Ovis aries: one gene and its partners. The protein of the gene in region 1 interacts with the protein of each later gene in a biochemical or structural test. Links are inferred from orthologs where the notes say so. Each region holds a gene or a part of one and is shown on either strand. Other genes may lie near its edges.

Region 1 (6,692 bases):
GACTGGATGGCTTAAAAAAATAGAAATGTATTTGCTCACAGTCCTAGAGGCTAGAAGTCCAAGAGCAAGCAGTTGGCACGTTTCTCCTAAGGCCTGTCTCCTAGGCCTGCACCTGGCAGCCTTCTCACTGTATCTTCACATGGTTGCCCCTCTGTCTGAATGTCTGTGTCTTAATCTCTTCTTATAAGAACACCAGTCATATTGGATGGGCCCACCCATTTTACTTTAATCACCTCTTTGAAGGCCATATCTCCAAATACAGTCACCTTCTGTACTGGATGTTAGGACTTCAGCATATAATTTGGGGAGAACACAGTTCAGCCCATAACATATCCTGATCAATTCCTGAATATTTTTCCAGTTAAATTATATTAAAATATTTATCTGCAAAATTATTCCCATGTCTCTTGCACACAGCCCTTCTGGATGAAAGGCCTGGATGAGAATAAAAGATTATTGAAAAAATGTCAGGTTAGTATTGCTGATCAAAAGCCTGGCACCCAGGGAGCTTTGGGGGCGGGGAGAGCATTTATGATCTTCATTTCTCAGAAATATTCTGGAAACTTTCCCCTTTTCCTGAAGGAAAGCTCCCAGTGCCGTCAGCTGGAAGATTGACCCTCAGCTGGCATCTGGGTTCTTGAATTTCAGGAGAGTTCTCACCATTCCCTAAATGACAGGAGTTGCTTACTGAATTTAAACTGTGTAAACTGTGGTTTATGCTGCATGCCTGCTTTCCTTCCAGGAGTGTAGAATTTTGGTGTGTTACAGGCAGAGGGTGCCTGTGTGACCAAACCCCAGAAAAGCCCTGGGCTGGAGTCTCTGATGAGCTTCTCTGGTAGATAACATTTCACACGTGTTGTCACACTCATTGCTGGAGGAGTTGTGTCCTGTGTGACTGACTCCACTGGGAGAAGACTCTGGGAAGCTTGTGCCTGGTTTCCTCTGGATTTTGCTCTATGCACCTTTCCCTTGGCTGATTTTGCTTCATAACCTTTCACTGTAATAAATCCTAGTCATCTGTGAGTAGAACTATATGCTGAGTCCTGTAGGGGGATGGTCTTGGGCCCCCCCCCCCCCGCCCCAGGGCACAAGGAGGACTTACGGGGTGGTTGGTCGTGTACTCTTTCTCAGTCTGGGTGCTGCTTACATGAGGTGTACTCATTTTGTGAAAATTCACTGAGCTGTCCAATTAACAGATGTATACTTTTTCGGTACATAGATTCAACTTTATAAAAAGATAAAACAATATTGTACACCACAGGGATTAAAAAATAATAATTTTTAAAAACAACTCCCTTTTATTTATAAAGCATTTTAGTCACTCCTTTTTGCCAAGCATTGTGCTGAGAGCTTGGGACATGGGGTAGGAAAGATGTCTTCATTGCCTCTGAGTTTATTGGGAGTTATGTAAAGAGATAACTGATATGACTTTTGCTGACTCCTAGCAAAGACATCATAGGATGCTGGGCTTACAACTTGAGTGATTCTCAGGGTTGCCACTTAAGTATCTATGGAAGCCAGACAGGCAAAGGGGCAAAGGAGGGTTATCAGGGAACTCTGACAAACTGGGAAGGTATGTTAAGTAAGCATAGAGTTGCAACAGCTAATAGTTTTTTCAAAGTTGCATTTTTATGTGAGCTGTCTTGATTTTTCACTCCTGTATATGAATCCAAATTTTAAAAAGTGAAAGACCAAACAAAACACCTCTGCAGCCAAATTTGACCTTGGCTTACCAGTTTGCCAGGCATTCTGCCAACCTGTCATCTTTCCCTCTTACAAAACACTTGAGGGTCCACTATTTTAGGCACTGGGAAATAGAGCAGTGAGCCAGCCAGACAATTTTCTTGCAGAATGACCCTGGCGGGGGTGGTGGGGTTCTGGTACTGTACTTCTCAAACTTCAATATGTGTGGGAATCACTGGGTAGATTCTGAATTGGGGGGGTCTGCGTTGAGGCCTGAAGCTTTGGCTTTCTAACAAGCTCCCAGGTGTTGGTGATGTTGGTGGCCCCTGCTGTTATTTGAAGAAGAGTAGGGGGTTTGTCTGGAAGATGCGTTTGCCTGGCAAGCATTCTCTTTAGACTTCGATTTTAGTTTATGGGGTGATTTGGAAGAGAGCTGGTGACTTCCGGGGCGGATGTTAGGGCTCCCCCATGCTGTCTCTCATTCTAGGTCTCTATTCTCAGAGTTTATAATCTAGAAGGCGAGGTGGGGATGGAGGAAGGTGCTGGGAAAAGCTTCCTGGAGGAGGTCCTCGCGGACTGCAGGAGCTTCCCCTGCCGTCGAGAAAGGAGAAACCCTGAACGCACCCTCTTCTGGGGCGGGGTCTCAGCAGCCCCACACCAGCTTTGGTTTCCCAGGCATCCCACGTGTCTTCCGTCCGCCATCCCTGCCAATCAAGCTCCTCCCAGGGCCTGGGTGAGAGTTTAAAGGCGGCTGCAGTGCCGAGCGCTCCCAGAGTGCCGCGCGGCGGGCGGGTTTGGATTTTAAATCCCCGCGGCCAATCAGTAGCGCGTAGGCTCTTGTAACGTTCCCGGCGCCGCGTTTGAATTCGAGGAGAGGCAGAGCCGTGCCAAGCCTCTGCCTAGACCCTGCTAGGTCCGCTGAGCAACTCCGGGAACATGAGTGCGGCGGCAACTGCAGGGAAGCTGGGGCGGGCACCAGCCGACCCAGGGAAAGCGCCCGGAGTTGCAGCTCCCGGGGCTCCGACGGCCGCCCCGCCGGCGAAAGAGATTCCGGAGGTCCTAGTGGACCCTCGCAGCCGGCGGCGCTATCTACGGGGTCGCTTTTTGGGGAAGGGTGGCTTTGCCAAGTGCTTTGAGATCTCGGATGCGGACACTAAGGAGGTGTTCGCGGGCAAGATCGTGCCTAAGTCGCTGTTGCTCAAACCGCACCAAAAGGAGAAGATGTCCATGGAGATATCCATTCACCGCAGCCTCGCTCACCAGCACGTCGTAGGCTTCCACGGCTTTTTCGAAGACAACGACTTCGTGTTCGTGGTGTTGGAGCTCTGCCGCCGGAGGGTGAGTGTCGCTGCTGGGGAACTGGAACTGCCCTGGCGTCAGGGGTTGGGGCACTGGGAACCGGAGCTGCTGGGGAAGGGGCGCCCCGGGGCTCAGAGCTGCTAGGGAAGAGGTGCTGGGAACCTGGAACTGGAAATGGAGAAAGTCTTGGGGAGAGGGAAGGTTCTCGGCACTTGGGGCCTCTAGGGAAGGCGGCTTCTGAACGCTAGGAGTTGGGCGGATTGGGGGAGGTGCGGGAGAACCTTGCTTATGGACGCCAGGGCTTTGGAGTTGCTAGGTAAGGGATATTGCGGACCCTCACTTTCCCGAGTAGGGTTGGGTCAGGCAGAGGGTAGTTGGAGCCAGACTTCGGAGCTTCCGGGGGAGGGGAGGGGCAGGAAAGGGACCTGTTGCTGCCAAGAGTTCCGGGACCGGGATACTGGGGTCTCTGAGCTTCCGGAGGGGTCTGAGAGAGGGGTCCCAGGTAAGGGTTTTGGGAGGGAGCCAGTGGGAGAGGGTTGCTATGAACTGTTGCGGCCTGGTTTTGGGGGGGGGGGGAGTCTGGATCGCAGTTGTCCTGAAGAAATGGTTAGTAGCGTCCTGGCTGCCTTTACCTAATGACACTCCCTCCCTGCCTTGGGTCTGAGCACCGGCTCCCATTTCTCCTTCCCTCCTGCTCCCAGTCTCTCCTGGAGCTGCACAAGCGGAGGAAAGCTCTCACGGAGCCCGAGGCCCGCTACTACCTGCGGCAGATCGTCCTGGGCTGCCAGTACCTGCACGGAAACCGCGTTATTCACAGAGACCTCAAGCTGGGCAATCTCTTCCTGAACGAGGATCTGGAGGTGAAAATAGGTAAGGAGCTGGGACTGCAAGGGCATTTGACATGCAGTGGGAATGAGGAGGAGCTGGGAGGGAGGGTGAGGGAGAGGAAATTTGGAAAGAGACAAGGGAGAGAGGAAGAGGATGGTAGGAAGTCTGGGCTGTTGATTGGCTGTAGAATCCTCTCTTAGGACAGGAACTTAAAGAGCTACAAACCAGTGTCTTGTCTGCAGATGTGCTTTGAGGGGGGCAGTGTGTTCTATACAGTTTGTTTTTTTTTTTTAAGAATTTGGATTTGTTTTCACTTTTTAAAAATATTTTTTCAATTTACTTATTTCGGCTGCACTGGGTCTCCGCTGCTGCATGCCTTTCTCTGGTGCGGTGAGTGGGGGCTACTCTGCGTCGCATGTGCGGATTTCTCATTGCAGTGGCTTCTCCTTGTGGAGCGCAGGCTTCAGCAGTTGTGGCTCCAGCGCTCTAGAGCACAGGTTCAGTAGTTGTGGCACATGGGCTTAGGTGCTCTGTGGCACATGGGATCCTCACCGACCAGGAATGGAACCTGTTTCTCCAGCATTGGCAGGTGAATTCTTTACCACTGAGCCATCACGGAAGCCGCTCCTCATTTTCACTTTTTTAAACTGAGAGCCTTGATGTAAAACTTTGAATTTGGAGCTCCTTTTAAACACTCGAGAGCTCCAGCAGTACAGGGGTAGCGTTCCCTCAAGACAGCTCTTTGCTGTACTGAACAGCAGCTGTTCCCTTTAGATGCCCTATGGTTTGCCACATTCCCCACCCCTCCGTATCACTTCCTCACAAACTTGCCAAGTAGCCATCTTGACATTTACTTGCTTAATCCCTGAAGGTGTTTGAGTTTTGCTATCCCTGTCAGTCGGAGAAGGCAATGGCACCCCACTCCAGTACTCTTGCCTGGAAAATCCCGTGGATGGAGGAGCCTGGTAGGCTGCAGTCCATGGATCACGAAGAGTCGGACACGACTGAGCGACTTCACTTTCACTTTCATGTGTTGGAGAAGGAAATGGCAACCCACTGCAGTATTCTTGCCTGGAGAATCCCAGGGACGGAGGAGCCTAGTGGGCTGCTGTCTGTGGGGTCACATGGAGTCAGACATGACTGAAGCGACTTAGCAGATCCCTGTCAGTTCCCTTTTAGAAGTAAACCCCTCCTTTCTAAGGGGAGGGGTGATGAGAGTCTTTGGGAGGCCCTTCCCTAGGGCCAGCATGGTGGGAGGATTCCTGGGTAACAGGAATCTAGTCCTTGCTGTACACAAGGACTAGAGGCTTTGAGAGATCACTTGACCCTGGTTCTTGATGGTTACCAGCTGAACCAGCTGTCTGCATTGACAGACGACAGAAGCTGGCATCTGAGCCTCCCTCTTCCTCCCTCTGTCCCAGGGGATTTTGGACTGGCAACCAAAGTGGAGTATGACGGGGAACGGAAGAAGACCCTGTGCGGGACTCCTAATTACATAGCTCCTGAGGTGCTGAGCAAGAAAGGGCACAGTTTCGAGGTGGACGTATGGTCCATTGGGTGCATCATGTAAGTTGGGAGTTGTCTCAGGACCCACCAGTCTCAGCAAGGGGCTTTCTGGACATCTCACTTGGCAGGCTTTATCCTGCAGACCTTTCCGCCTTTGGAAAGACTGTTCCAGAGGACAGATGGTCTCTGAAGGAACCCTCATTGCTGAATTGGTATATCCTGTAGGATTCCTGCAGCCTGGGCTGTGGGTTCAGGGAATGAGGGAGGGAATGTCTCCACAAACTTGCTCTAATCCCTTGCTATTCAAAGTACGGCAGACCAGCTGCAGCATCACGTAGGAACTTGTTACGCAGAATCTCAAGACCCAGACTAACTGGATCACAATCTGTATTAAGACCCTTGAGTGATTTCTATGCACAATAAAGTATTAGAACCACTGATCTAAAAAGCAGCATTGGGTGGGAAGAATTAGGCCAGGAGTGGTGCTGGCAGGAGGAGGTCCTGTGGTCTGTCTGGGTCAAGGCCATCAGAGGTGGGTGGTGGGCAGAGAGTTGGGCCTGTTCAGGTGTTACCCCTTTTGTTGTTTCCCTGGATACTGGAGAGTTAGAAATGGCTTTCCTACTTCTTTGCCTTGGAATTTCCCACATGAAAACTTGCAGCCTAAAGTACAGAACTATTAACTGTGGGGCTGCCTCAAGGAAAGTGACCCCTGCTTGGACCTGTTCCATGTTAGCTGGCAGCCTCTGGCCCCTAGATTACCGCAGGCTATAGCTAAAAAGTCACTGGTCCATTAGAACCCAGTTTCATCACCTGTATTCTACTGAGGGTACCTCCCTGCCAGTGTCGTGGCTCCTGGGGCTGCTTAGTGAACTTGTGAATTGTCCTCTGGGGCCCCAGAGTCACAGTGAATGCCCAAAAGATGTCTGACTTCCTTTCTGGCCCTGAGAGGATTCCTCCCTGCATCTGGGTTTTGGTTGGGAGCCTTGAGCCAAATCCCTCCTTGTGCTTACAGGTATACCTTGTTAGTGGGCAAGCCACCTTTTGAGACCTCTTGCCTAAAAGAGACCTACCTCCGGATCAAGAACAATGAATACAGTATTCCCAAGGTGACTAAAACCACTTTAAGTTTACATTTGTTTTATTTAATTCCCTCCCCCACCAAGTGATTTACAGAGCCCAGCCATTTCCGGGGGAAAGAGATGGGTCAGTGCCACCCCATGGGTAAGTGTAACAGCTTTAGAGGGTCCTGTCTGAAATTGCATACAGAGGCTGATGTATGTGTACAGAAACAGTTTTTCTTGGGATGAGAGTTTGCAGGCTTTCATCCGTTGGGGAGATAACCCAAAAGACGTGAAAAACAGAGAGAAAGAGCCAGA
Region 2 (5,603 bases), on another chromosome or scaffold:
TAGGAGCCTGGGAGAGGGATTCTGCTTGAGAGGCCGTTGGTCCCAGAGGGTTTCCAGAAGGTGGAGCCACTCCCGGAGGCCCAAGGCTCCTAAATCCAGAGTGGGGCAGAGGCGGCAGAGAGACGGGGTGCGTGGGGCCTGGGGACCTGGAGGAACAGGGCAGCAGAGGGGTCAGACGGAGCTCCAGGCCCGAGGAGCAGGGAGGGCAGGCAGGCCTGGGGAGGGGACGGCAGCGGGGCGGCCAGCTCCCAGCAGAGCTGAGCTGGGCCTCTAGGGACCTCAGAGCCAGAGGCAGGGCCAGGGTGGGGGGCGGGCTCCATTCGGGCTCCCCAAGGAGGGCTCCTGCCTGTCATGTGAGGGTCCATCAAGGAGGAGGGGGCCTGGTCAGAGGCCCCGACAGGCCCAAGGCTGTGGGCACTGCTGGGCTGCCAACAGACTGGTGCGAGGGAGCCCCGGGGGTTTGGGGCCCCCTCCGCCAGCCGCGCTGGTGCAGGATGGGGGCGGCCTCAGGCAGGGTGGCGGGGATGTCCAACTCCTGGGGTCACAAACGCAAACACTTCTCTGGGGCAAGTCAACAGGCCAACCACTTCCGGGCAGCCCTGCAGGGCACGGCCAGCTCTCCCAGGGCCCCGGCCCCTCCCACGGAACCCCCATTGGCTGCCCTCTAGGGTGGCCAGCAGAGGTCTGTGCGGCTGCTCTATCCGCCCTGCTCCTGGCTCTAGAGGCGTCGCCCAGCTGGACTGGGTTCACGGACAGGAACCTCAGACTCCCATCACCTCCCCGCCCCCCTCCAGCCCCAGAGCTCCTTCGGGCCCCAGCTCTGTGACAGGCCCCTCAGGACTGTCTGAATGCAACTCTCTGCCCGGCCCTGGCCGTGTGCCACCTGTGTCTGCTGCCCGCAGGACAGGACCATCCCCAGCCTTGTCTCAGGCCCACCTCGTGCCTGATGGCGAGTTTCCCGGCCCCACCCACGCCCCCATCGGGAGCCTGGGTACAGGCGGAGTGGGGGGCCGTCTGTCTGCCTGGCCTGTGCCAGGTGGATACCAAAATGAGGGCGTGCCCACACGACTGGCCAGCACAGAGGCCAGTAGTGGAGGCCCAGAGCCTGGGCCTGGCGGGGGTGGCTCCCGGAGGAAGCCAACTTTGAAGGGAGAGAGTGGCCTGGAGGCTTGAGTGCAGCCGGAGAGCCTGCCCAGCTGGCAAGGGCTGCCTGGGCTCAGGGAGGAGGGGGCGGGCTGCTGGCTGTGGGCCAATGCTGCACTGGTCCACGGCAGGGCCCGGCTACGGCCCGGGTCTTAGGAACCCTTCCAGGCCCCACGTCTACCCCGCCCCATGCCCTGGGGTCCTCACAGACTCCTCTCCATCCCCTGCAGACCAGAGGCCTCTCGCAGCCAGGCCTTGGTGCCTGGCTGGGGAGTCAGCTGCGGCAGGCCTGTACACTCTGGGGCAGGACGGGCGTCTTGGCCCTTCTTCACAGAAACCTCCGAGGTCTGCAGGGTGGTGGCAGACACAGAAACAGGGGCCCCCACTCCGAGCTCATGGTCCCGCACCTCACCCTTGGGAGTCGGAGGATGACCCTGGACAAGTGGCCATCCTGTCCTGTGGGAAAGGACCACCAGGGTCAAGGCCGGGCTCGCTGCCTGGCCTGAAGTGTTAAGCGCGTGGTGTCATGTGGGGTGGGGCGTGGGGACAAAGGCAAAGACCCAGAGCGGTGGGGGTCTGCAGGAGGGGGTGAGAGGACCCCACAGGAGCGGACAGTGTCCTGGTGCAGGTTGGGCAGTGCGGAAAACGGCGTTGGAACCTGCAGGTCCCACCCACTCAGGAGGGTCCTTGAAGCTTACCTGGAGGAAATGCAGAGGCCCCTCCGCAGGACGTGCTCAGATGCAGGAGACAGGCGCCCCCTGAGGCTCTCACGCCCTCCCTCCCCAGGTGCTGAGCTTCCCTTGGCGCCAAGACGGCTACCGGAATCCTGGTTCACAGGAGAGGTCCACAGTGGGAGAGGCGCTCCAGCCGGGGTCCGCAGACAGGGACATGTGTCTTGGTGACACCCTCCAGCCGGGGGTGGGCTCCCCCCCAGAAGCCACTCAGCCCAGGCCAAAGGAGAGCAACGCGCCTCGCAGAAGGTGCTTTATTTCATTTATCAACAACACGGGGGCAGGAAGGCCCAGCTGCAAGGCCCTGTTATCACAACCAGCCTCAGGCCCCTGGCTGGCTCTCTGCTCCCACTTCCGTCTCAGGAGCTGCTGGGCTGGCGATGGGCTCAGCCCGGCTCCCCCGCGGGGGCCCGTCCCCAACCCCCTTGGGAGAAGGCGCCCTCTCAGCCCAACAGTGACTAAGGCGGAGAGTGGTGCCGGCGCCCAGCCACGCCTGCTGAGGAGGAGAGGCTTGGGGGCTGTCTGGAGACCGGGCCCTTCCCAGAGGGTTCCTGCCACAGGTCTGCGAGCCCCCAAAACACCTGCCTACCTGCCGACGGGCAGGGTGGGGGACACCTGGGATCTCCCACTCCCCCGCCCCGGGAACCTAGTCCTCGCTGGAGTTGTCGAACTCCTCCCAGTCAGACACACTCATCACCTCGGAGGCGAAGTCCGGGTCGGCCTGGCTGCGGTCAGGGGTCCCCCGGGGCGGCTCGAGCAGCAGGGACCGCGGCAGGGTGAGCACACAGGCGGCCAGGCCCGAGATGGAGTTGTCCAGCGGCGGCCCCTCCTCCCAGCTGTCCTTGCCCGCGTCGTAGATGTGCACGTAGCCCGTGCGGCTGCCTCGGTTGTGTGAGCGGCCGCCCAGCACGTAGATCCTGCTGTCGAGCACAGCAATGCCCGGTTCCCCGTGCCCGGCCGGGAGCGGGCAGACGGACGACCACTGCCCGGATCTGCAGCTGTAGCAGGCCACCTGCAGGGCAAGGTGCGGGCTCTCAGGGGCTGGGGGCCCCCAGGGAGGGCTCTGACCGGCTGCTGCCCTGCGCCACCTCCCCAGCCCCTCAGCCGGCCGGTGGCCCCAGGCCCGTGGCTGTCTCCCCTTTGGCCTGGGGGTGCTGGCTCACTCCCCTCCACCGCTGAAGCCGAAACTCAGAAGCCAAGCGCACGGAGCACCGGGCAAGATGCAGATAAAATGGAGAGACAGGCTTGCTGAGTCGTGATGACTGTCAACATTCTCTTGGGAAGTACCCAGCGGCCCAGTGGTGAGGACTCGCACTTTCCCCGCTGGGGCCCCAGGTTCAATCCCTGGTCAGGGAACTAAGATCCCACAAGACATGTAGTGTGGCCAAAATAGAGAAAAAAAATCATCTTGCCTTCAAAGCTACCCCAAATAGTAAACGTGGGAACCAGGGGAAATGTTCAACCTACTAGTAATCCAAGAATTGCAAAACAGAACCTCAGGGACAAATCGTCAGCTGTTAACGAGCGGGCACTGGGGGAGAAAAGGCACCGGCCAGGCGCCCATCTGACCAGTCAGGGCGGCAACGTGCAGAGCTGCACAGAGCCACGTGGACGCCAGCCCTGCCTCTCCCACTGCGAGGAGGCCTGGCCACCAGGGCCGGCCTCTGCGGGCGGTAAGCGCAGGGACGTGGACACGGGCGGACGGGCGACCCTGGATCTTCGGGGACGCCTAACTGCACAGCCCTTGGAAGCAGCAGGGGACGTGTGAAGGCCCAAGATGGGAGGGGAGCTGCCGGCTTGGAAGGGGAAGGGGCCCGAGCGGCCGGCCCACAGGCTTCCAGAAGCCAATAAGGGCTTCAGCTCACAGCGGTGAGGAGCAGGACCCGGCCCCACCGAGGGGGCTGCGCTCTGCTGACACCCCGGGTGAAAGGACGCCAACCCTCCCGGGGCTCCGCTGAGGACGCACCCTGGACTGTCAAGTGAGAGCCACAGGCTGCCAGCACAGGCGCCCGCGGGTTTAGGCCCCGCACCGGGGGCGGTCTGTCCCAGCTGCCGCAGGAACTGAGACGCTGGGGCCTAGCGGCTCTGAGCGCTGGGGGCCCCGTCTGGGGACACCCAGCCAGGCGAGCTGAGGGCCAGGGAGGGTCCCATCTGGGGAGACCCAGCCAGGCGGGCTGAGGGCCAGGGAACCTGCATTCCTGGTGAGTTCTCTCCTGATGTGGGTACTGCTGGCCCAGGAGCCACATTTCAAGGACCGCAGCTCTCGCCTCAGGAGATGACCCAAGATACCCAAACAGCTCCACGGAGCAAACGCTGCTTCAAATGTTACCTGAAACGGCCACAACTTGACCAGCCCCAACGTCAGCGGTCTGATGAACTCTGCACAGCCACTGGGTGGCGTGGGGCGGCCCTCAAACGAGAGGACACACCCACGGAGCCGGGGCAGGTGGGCGGGCGTTCAGGAGGGCTAACACTCCAGGCTGGGGGCCAGATTTCAGGAATTCTTGTCCCCTTTCTCCATTTTCCCAGAGTTCTGCAATGTGGTTAGACTAACTTTATAATTAAAGCTTTTAAGAATAGTGCAGGCAGGTGACACCTCTCTGTGACACCCTAGTGGTGGACACGTGCCATCTGTCTCAACCCCGACTGTGCACCCCCAGGAGTGACCCCAGGCCAGCCGAGTTATCAGCTGTAAGGACGCCACCCTGAGGTGCGGGTGCCAAGTGTGGGGAGGCGGTGGGCGCGGGGGCGACGGGAAGCCTCGCTGCTCTGTTCGGCTTGGCTGCGAAGCTGAAGCCGCCCTAGGAAACGCAGCCTAGTAACCAGAAACGCGCCCGTGTCCCCCCTGCAGCCCGCCTGCTGCGTGGCCGGCTCCTCACTGACACCCGCGGGAGGCGGCCCCGCTCACCTGGTGCACGTCTCTGCGGTAGCCCGCGTCGTTGTTGCTGCCCCCGATCACGTACAGCTTGTCCAGCAGCGTGGCCATGCCGTGCCAGGCCCGCCGCACCGGGCCGTCGGCCAGCGCGTGCCAGGTGTCGCTGCCCGGCTCGTAGCAGTGGGTCTCCTTCAGGTAGTCCTCCCCGCGGCGGCCGCAGGTGACGTACATCTTCCCGTCCAGCGCTGCGCCCGCGTGGGCGTAGACCTGCGGCGGGGCACCGGCGTGAGCGCCAGGAGGCCAGGGGCCGCGCGACCCCCGCTCCTCCCTGGACGCCCCGTCCCGCCCCCCACCTTCCCCACGGAAGAGGATTCCAGGGCCCAGAGGCGATGCTGCGCTTCCCCGAGGGGAGCCGCAACCCCTCTTTCCGCACCACCCCCCCAAGCAATGTGCACCGGACCCAGAGGAAACCATCACAGCCCCATCTTCACAGAGGCCTCCTGACCCCCATGCCCGCCAACCCTCCAGGCCTGTTATCAGCTCCTTTTTCTGCTCCGATATGATCCTGCGATTTTAAATATGGTGAATCACACTGGTTAAATTTCGAGTACGGAACCAGCCTTTGTAATCGACTCTATTTGGTCATGAATTTCTTTTGGAGGGAGAGGGGAATTTGCTAATATGTAGTCACGAACATTCACATGTAACTGTAGGTATGGCAGACTTGCTCTATTTTGGGGGGAGAGGCTGCTGTCTTGTATGGTTTTGGTATCAATTTAATGATAACTTCCTAAGGTGAAATGAGAAGTATTCTCCCTCTTCCACTTCCTGGAAAAAAAGAATCGGTATTTTCT
Region 3 (6,173 bases), on another chromosome or scaffold:
CTTTAAAATTATTTTTCAGTGTTTTCTTCAACTAATTTCATAAGTGGAAAGGATAAATATATATGTAGTGGTACAGGATTATTGAGTGTCTTCTACCTTACCCTGGCTTGAAAATAAATCCTTAAATTTCCCAAATTCCTACTTCTATCTAATAAAAGAGGAACAATTCCTTTCTTTCAGAATGAAGAGAGGTCATACTACATAGTTGAGGGGTAAGGAGAGAAAAGATATGGGCAAAGCAGGTAGAAGTGGCTTGGGCTGGAGATCAGAAAGGTTTTGGAGTTTAGTACCCAACTGGGGAGCTTTGTTTATGAGAGTCACTCGAGTAGTTTTTAATTTAAATTTAATATTTTAATTGAAAGGGCTTTTTGGAAGTGTTTGAGTTATAAATAAAATCTCCTTTAATGGTGTTTGATGGTAAAGTAAAGGATATAAACTCCCTTTTAATTGCTTTTGCTGTTTAAAGAAGATATGATTAAAATTTGAGCCATACGCCCTTCCATTTATTAGAGTTTGATATTAATAAGAAAAAATGTGGATACTAAAAATAGTACTGGTTTTCACTGTCAAGAGGTTTGAATATTAATCTCTTAGAGTCAATACTACTTAGGTAAAAGGCTTAATCTTTTTTCCTCAATTTCTTCATCTTTTAAATAATACTTTTGCTTTTGTTAGGAAAAAATGAGTAACTTCTAAAAATGTGTGTTGTATGATTACTAGATGTAATATACACATGCAGACAGAGATATGAATGAATGGAGATATGGATGCAAGTCCTACTTGTAATCATGTGTGACAATTCATTGGCCATTTGAATTTCTGGGGAATTTTTAAATGACCTTTTCCCATTTTTATGTTAATCTATTAAAATTGAGATAAGCAGTTTTTGGTTGTTATTTGATAAATGAATAATATTACAGTATTGAAATATTCTTAAACATATTCTGTCATTGAAAAGATACTGATAAAACCTTATATTTTTAATTAACATTGTATTTTTTGCAAAATATTTTTACATTATTTCAGTTGATCCTTAAAACAATTTCTGAGGTGGTTGGGGCATTGTCCCCATTATATAGGTGTAGAAACTGAAGCATAATTAAAGTCTTGTCCAAGGTCACAAAGCTGTTAAGTGGTATAGGCAGACCTGGATCACAGGTCTTTGGAGCCTTCTCCAGTGCTTTTTGTAGTATACTTTGTTGTCTCATTAAATGACTCTATATCATAGAATTATCTTTTCATATTTGCTACTATGCATGAAGGTAAAAGAATGAAAAGAGAATTCTTAGGAGTACTAGCTTTATCTTCATTTCGATTTTTCTTCATAAAATCATTAGTTTCTGAACTCTTTTGGGAATGGATAGGAAACCTAAATTGCTGCGGCTTCTTTTGCATTATTTTTTAAATTTTATTTTCCAATTTTATTATAGATGCTGTAGTTAACAAAGGAGTGGATGAGTCCATAGGCAAAGGAGATGGTAAGAACCGTTGAGAAGTATTTTTTATCAACGTTAAAAGTGATTTTGTGTTATCTACTTCTGTGTAACAAATTACCTTAACATTTTGAAGCTTAAAAGAATATTTATCATGTCATAATTGTGGATTAAGAATCCAAGCATGGCTTAGCTGGATGCCTTTGGCATCAGGTATCTCATGATGCTTTAACTAGGGTGTCAACAGGACTGCAGTCATCTCAGGGTATGACTGGGCAAGGATCTGCTTCCAAATTCATTCATGTGGCTGTTGGCTAAAGATATCAGTCCTTACTCATGTGGGCAGCTGACAGCAGAGCAGCTGACTTCACTCAGAGCTGGTGTGAGATGGAGAGGGCACTCAGGATGGAAGCTAAGGACTTCCCTAGTGGTCCAGTGGTTAAGAATCTGCCTGCCAAAGCAGGGGACAAAGGTTTGATCCCTGGTCCAAGAAGATTGCACAGACCATGGAGCATCTAAGCCTGTGTACCACAGCTACTGAAGCCCATGCCTTAAGGCCTGTCTGAATGCCTCAGCACGAAAAGCCACTGCGGTGAGAAGCACATGTGCAGTAATGAAGACCCAGCACAGCCCAAAGTAAATAAATATTTTTTAAAAGATGGAAGCCACAGTGTGTTTGTAACTTAATCTTGGAAGTGAAATCCACCACTTCTGCTATATGCTCTTTGTTAGAAGCAAGTTCCTAGGTCCAACCCACATTCTAAGGGAGGTATTTATATGAGGCTGTCGATCCTTGGGAGGAGGCAGGGATCTTGAGGAGCCATCTTAGAGGCTGTCTACCAAGATCCACCTCAGATACATACCAAATTGACAGTTTTATCAAAAAATTTTATTGACTAAAACAGTCATCATGCTTTGCTGTTTTCAGCATATCTTCACATACAGTATCTCTTTTATACCTCATCATTTAGGGCAGTGGATATCATCATTCATACTTACAGATCACCTAAACAGTCACAAAGAGTTTTACAACTTTTACCCCAAAAACTCAAATGAAGTAAGGGATAGAGCTGACAAGTGAGCTTGTCTTTTGAATCCAGATCCCATGTCTTCCTACTGTATTAACATATCTATTATGTTAAGTGCTTTTCTTAAATATCCGAGACTGGGGACAGTCCATGTAAGTGCTGGCTTTTTTCTTTTCTTTTTCAGGCCTTGACTTTCTACCACAGTTGAACTCAGTGTTTCCTCCAAGAAAAAATCCAGTAGTTTCAAGCACTTCAGTATTGCATTCTAGTCCTCTTAATGTCTTTATGGGGTCTCCTGGGAAAGAAGAAAATGAAAATCATGATCTGACAGCTGAATCTAAGAAAATGTATCTGGGAAAACAGGAATCTAAAGACTCCTTCAAGCAGGTATCTGCCTGTAAATGATATTGAACTCACTGCGTGTGTTTATTACTAGCAAGTATAATGCATCTCATCACTAGAAAGCAGGCAGCTGCCACTGGATATACCCTAATTATTGACAGTGCTGTGCACTTACTAGGTGGAAAATATTCTTAAATCTTGATGTCACATGTTAAAAACTGAAGAACACTTTTGAAATCTGTCTTTGGATATGTTGGAGGTAACAGCAGGTATAATCTTACACTGTTTTTTCCCTAAGACAAGATACTTGATTTAACTGTAAGAATATTTTATCCCTGAATTCTCTTAGAATGTATTTCCATTGCAGCACAAAGCACCAAGTTGGTGCTTTTACCCTAAGTCTTAAAGCAAGTCGATGGTGCTGAGAATGTGACTCATCATCATTACCTTCTGCTGTAATCTAGTAGGGTCTGTTGTTTAGTATGTCTGTTTTCATATTTATCTTTTAGAATGGTATTGAGGAGAAACTTAAGAAATATGAAAATCTTTTGACTGACTTTTCAAATATTCCTGACTAGTTATCCCATGAGAGTCTGGGGATTTATTTTTTATTTATTTTTTGGCCTGTGATTGCCATCTTAAATGATATTCAACAGCGGATTCTTAGTAAATAAGCTTTTCCTTGTCATCATCAAAATCATCAAAATTGTTTTTGACCAGTAAAGTTAGTTATTTTGTCATGGTGCTAGCAACATTTTCTTTTCTCCTTCAAGATTCCTTTCTATTCTTCCTTTTTCTGACCCTATTTACTGGGGAAAAATAGAGAAAAGTAGATACAAATTATATGGGTAATATGGATAAAACCAGAATTTTTTTAACTTTTGTATTGGGGTATAGCCAATTAACAATGTTGTGATAGTTTTAGGTGAACAGCAAAGGGATTCAGCTGTACATATACGTGTATCCATTCTCCCCCAAACTCCCCTCCCATCCAGGCTGCCACATAACATTGAACAGAGTTCCGTGTGCTTTACAGTAGGTCCTTTGGATAAAACCAGAATTTATATATTAATTATTTATTTTAAATGTGAAGTTTGCAAAGTTGATCTCCGGTGCTGAAACTGGAAATCTAAATGCCTCTCCATCATCTAACCAAACAAGAAGCCCTGAGAAATTTGAAAAGCCAGAAAAAGAAATTGAAGCCCAGTTAATAAATGAACCTCCAGGCAATGGATCCTCAACTCCAAGTAAGAACATAAAACTTCTGATGTTTAAGTGTTAAGTTGAAAACTCCCATTATTTAACTTGTAAAGGATAAGTTGACAGTCAGTGATCACAGATGAAAAAGTTAAAGGAATTTAAAATTTGTGACACTTCTCTAGTGTGTGACTCTCTTACTAGAAGACAGTAAAACGAAAGGTTAAATTCAGCCACATTAACTTGGTATTCTTTGGGTATGAATTTCACTTTCAATCCAATATGTAAGTGTCTTGTCTACTGTGGTACAGATAGGAATATAATATAGGGTCATTAACTACCTGAAAATGTCTTTTTCTTTTTCCATATTAAAGTTCTGTCTGTATAGAGTTCATGGCAGAGACCTTAAAAACTTGGTCACATTTAAAGCAATATTAGGTTTAGCAATAGGAGTTATCTATACAAAAGAACTCTTTGTATAGAAGGAGCTCTTTTATCTAGATATCTGTATTTTGAGGTTTCTGTGGATATATTGCATTAGCTTAAACTCTAGGGCTTTGCCTCAGAACTACTTTACTCCTATGTTCCTTCTGTTTGTTTCTAATAGTCTTGGTTTATCCAGCAGCTGGTCACATTCATTTTTTGTAAGAGAAAATGGTTCAGAGATCCTTTAAGACTTAATTCCTCTGTCAGATGTTATTACATTAGACAGTTGGCAATTTTTATATATATATATATATATATATATATATATATATATATGAATGACTACTAGAAATAATGTCATAGAAAGTTTCTAAGACTTGTATTCCAGACAGTGAATTTTTCTAAATGTCATAGGAGGACTGTTTTTGTTTTTTTGTTTTTTTGGTGAGGAGGGGAGGTTGCCAGTTTTTCAGGCTTTCTCATGCTGAATCATATTTAGAAGTATTTGATGTCTCTTAGTCCAAGCTCACTATTAATATTTTCTCAAATTTTTATTTCAGATCCGAAGATAGCATCCTCTGTCACTGCTGGAGTTGCTAGTTCACTATCAGAAAAAATCGTTGATACCATTGGAAATAGTCGGCCAAATGCACCGTTGTCATCTGTTCAGATCCGTTTTATTCAGAACATGATACAGGAAACCCTGGATGACTTTAGGTAATTGGGAAATTACTCTTTCTGTGTAGACTTTGACTAGCTTATTTTTGTTAGGTGTAAAACCGTACCTGTGAGTAATGGTGGTGGTGACTACTTTTGCGTAGGTTCTGGGATGTGTAAAAATGTAGAAGACACGATGGGTTTTGTGAATCTTTAAGTGCCGAGTTTATTTTATACCAGCCAAGGAAAGGCACGTTTCCCTGGGGCAGTTATCAGAGGACTTGACAGTGTGGCGGCTGGCTGCCACTGTGGATTTTTTTATCATTAAAATGTGGGCAGATTCTGATGGGCTCAAATGGGATTCCTACAGTATTCATAGACCGCCTGTTAACTATGCTATGTGCAGTAATGTGGTAGAGAAAGACATTTTTAAAGGAATTTTGAATATTTTCAAATAGAATGTGTCAGAATATACCTGGTGGCTCAGATGGTAAAGAATCTGACCCCAGCGCAGGAGACCTAGGTTCGATCACTGGATCAGGAAGAACCCCTGGAGAAGGGAATGGCTACCCACTCCACTATTCTTGCCTAGAGAATTTCATGGATGGAAGAGCCTGGGGGGCTACAGTTGATGGGATCGCAGAGAGCTGGACTCAACTGAGCAAATAACACACACACAGAATATTAACACATAATTTTAAAAAGTTCTTGCCTGGATCTGCCCTTGTCTTCTCATTCTGAATTTTGAACGTTGTAAGAATGTTCTAGAATGTTGGTTCCTTTTACCTGTGTTCTCAATATATTTTGAAAGCTCTTTTCAATTATCAGAATCTTTTTGCGTTTTTTTTTCCCTTTCTGACCTTTACTTAGTACTTTTGCTCGGATTTGGGATATCATGAGCAAGAATGTTAGAGAAGATGTGTAGTTTTTGTTGTTACATGTTTCTTTTTAATGTTAAAAATGTTTTTTAAAAATTTAAATGTTAAATATATTTTTAAAGAAAAATAATCAATTTGACTTTTTACATTAATTAATTAAAATCGGAGGATAATTACTTTATAGTATCATGGTGGTTTTTGCCATACATCAA

The links. The genes of interacting proteins can lie anywhere in the genome.
Region 2: the proteins of PLK1 (region 1) and KLHL22 form a complex in vitro, tested with the Homo sapiens proteins (2 studies listed by BioGRID, with this or other methods). The link is inferred for Ovis aries from reciprocal best matches to the Homo sapiens genes PLK1 and KLHL22.
Region 3: the proteins of PLK1 (region 1) and NEDD1 form a complex in vitro, tested with the Homo sapiens proteins (2 studies listed by BioGRID). The link is inferred for Ovis aries from reciprocal best matches to the Homo sapiens genes PLK1 and NEDD1.

The regions. Positions count from the first base shown.
Region 1 is NC_056077.1:21,879,384-21,886,075, forward strand, and holds the start of PLK1 (serine/threonine-protein kinase PLK1), read left to right. Parts: upstream 1-2,512; 5' UTR 2,513-2,619; coding exon 2,620-3,021; intron 3,022-3,683; coding exon 3,684-3,852; intron 3,853-5,231; coding exon 5,232-5,376; intron 5,377-6,328; coding exon 6,329-6,422; intron 6,423-6,692. UniProt on the Homo sapiens protein: Serine/threonine-protein kinase that performs several important functions throughout M phase of the cell cycle, including the regulation of centrosome maturation and spindle assembly, the removal of cohesins from chromosome arms, the inactivation of anaphase-promoting complex/cyclosome (APC/C) inhibitors, and the regulation of mitotic exit and cytokinesis.
Region 2 is NC_056070.1:72,530,935-72,536,537, reverse strand, and holds the end of KLHL22 (kelch-like protein 22), read right to left. Parts: intron 5,017-5,603; coding exon 4,783-5,016; intron 4,408-4,782; exon of another isoform or gene 4,204-4,407; intron 2,887-4,203; coding exon 2,521-2,886; 3' UTR 2,115-2,520; downstream 1-2,114. UniProt on the Homo sapiens protein: Substrate-specific adapter of a BCR (BTB-CUL3-RBX1) E3 ubiquitin ligase complex required for chromosome alignment and localization of PLK1 at kinetochores.
Region 3 is NC_056056.1:166,690,176-166,696,348, forward strand, and holds part of NEDD1 (protein NEDD1), read left to right. Parts: intron 1-1,430; coding exon 1,431-1,478; intron 1,479-2,645; coding exon 2,646-2,848; intron 2,849-3,896; coding exon 3,897-4,050; intron 4,051-4,986; coding exon 4,987-5,143; intron 5,144-6,173. UniProt on the Homo sapiens protein: Required for mitosis progression. Promotes the nucleation of microtubules from the spindle.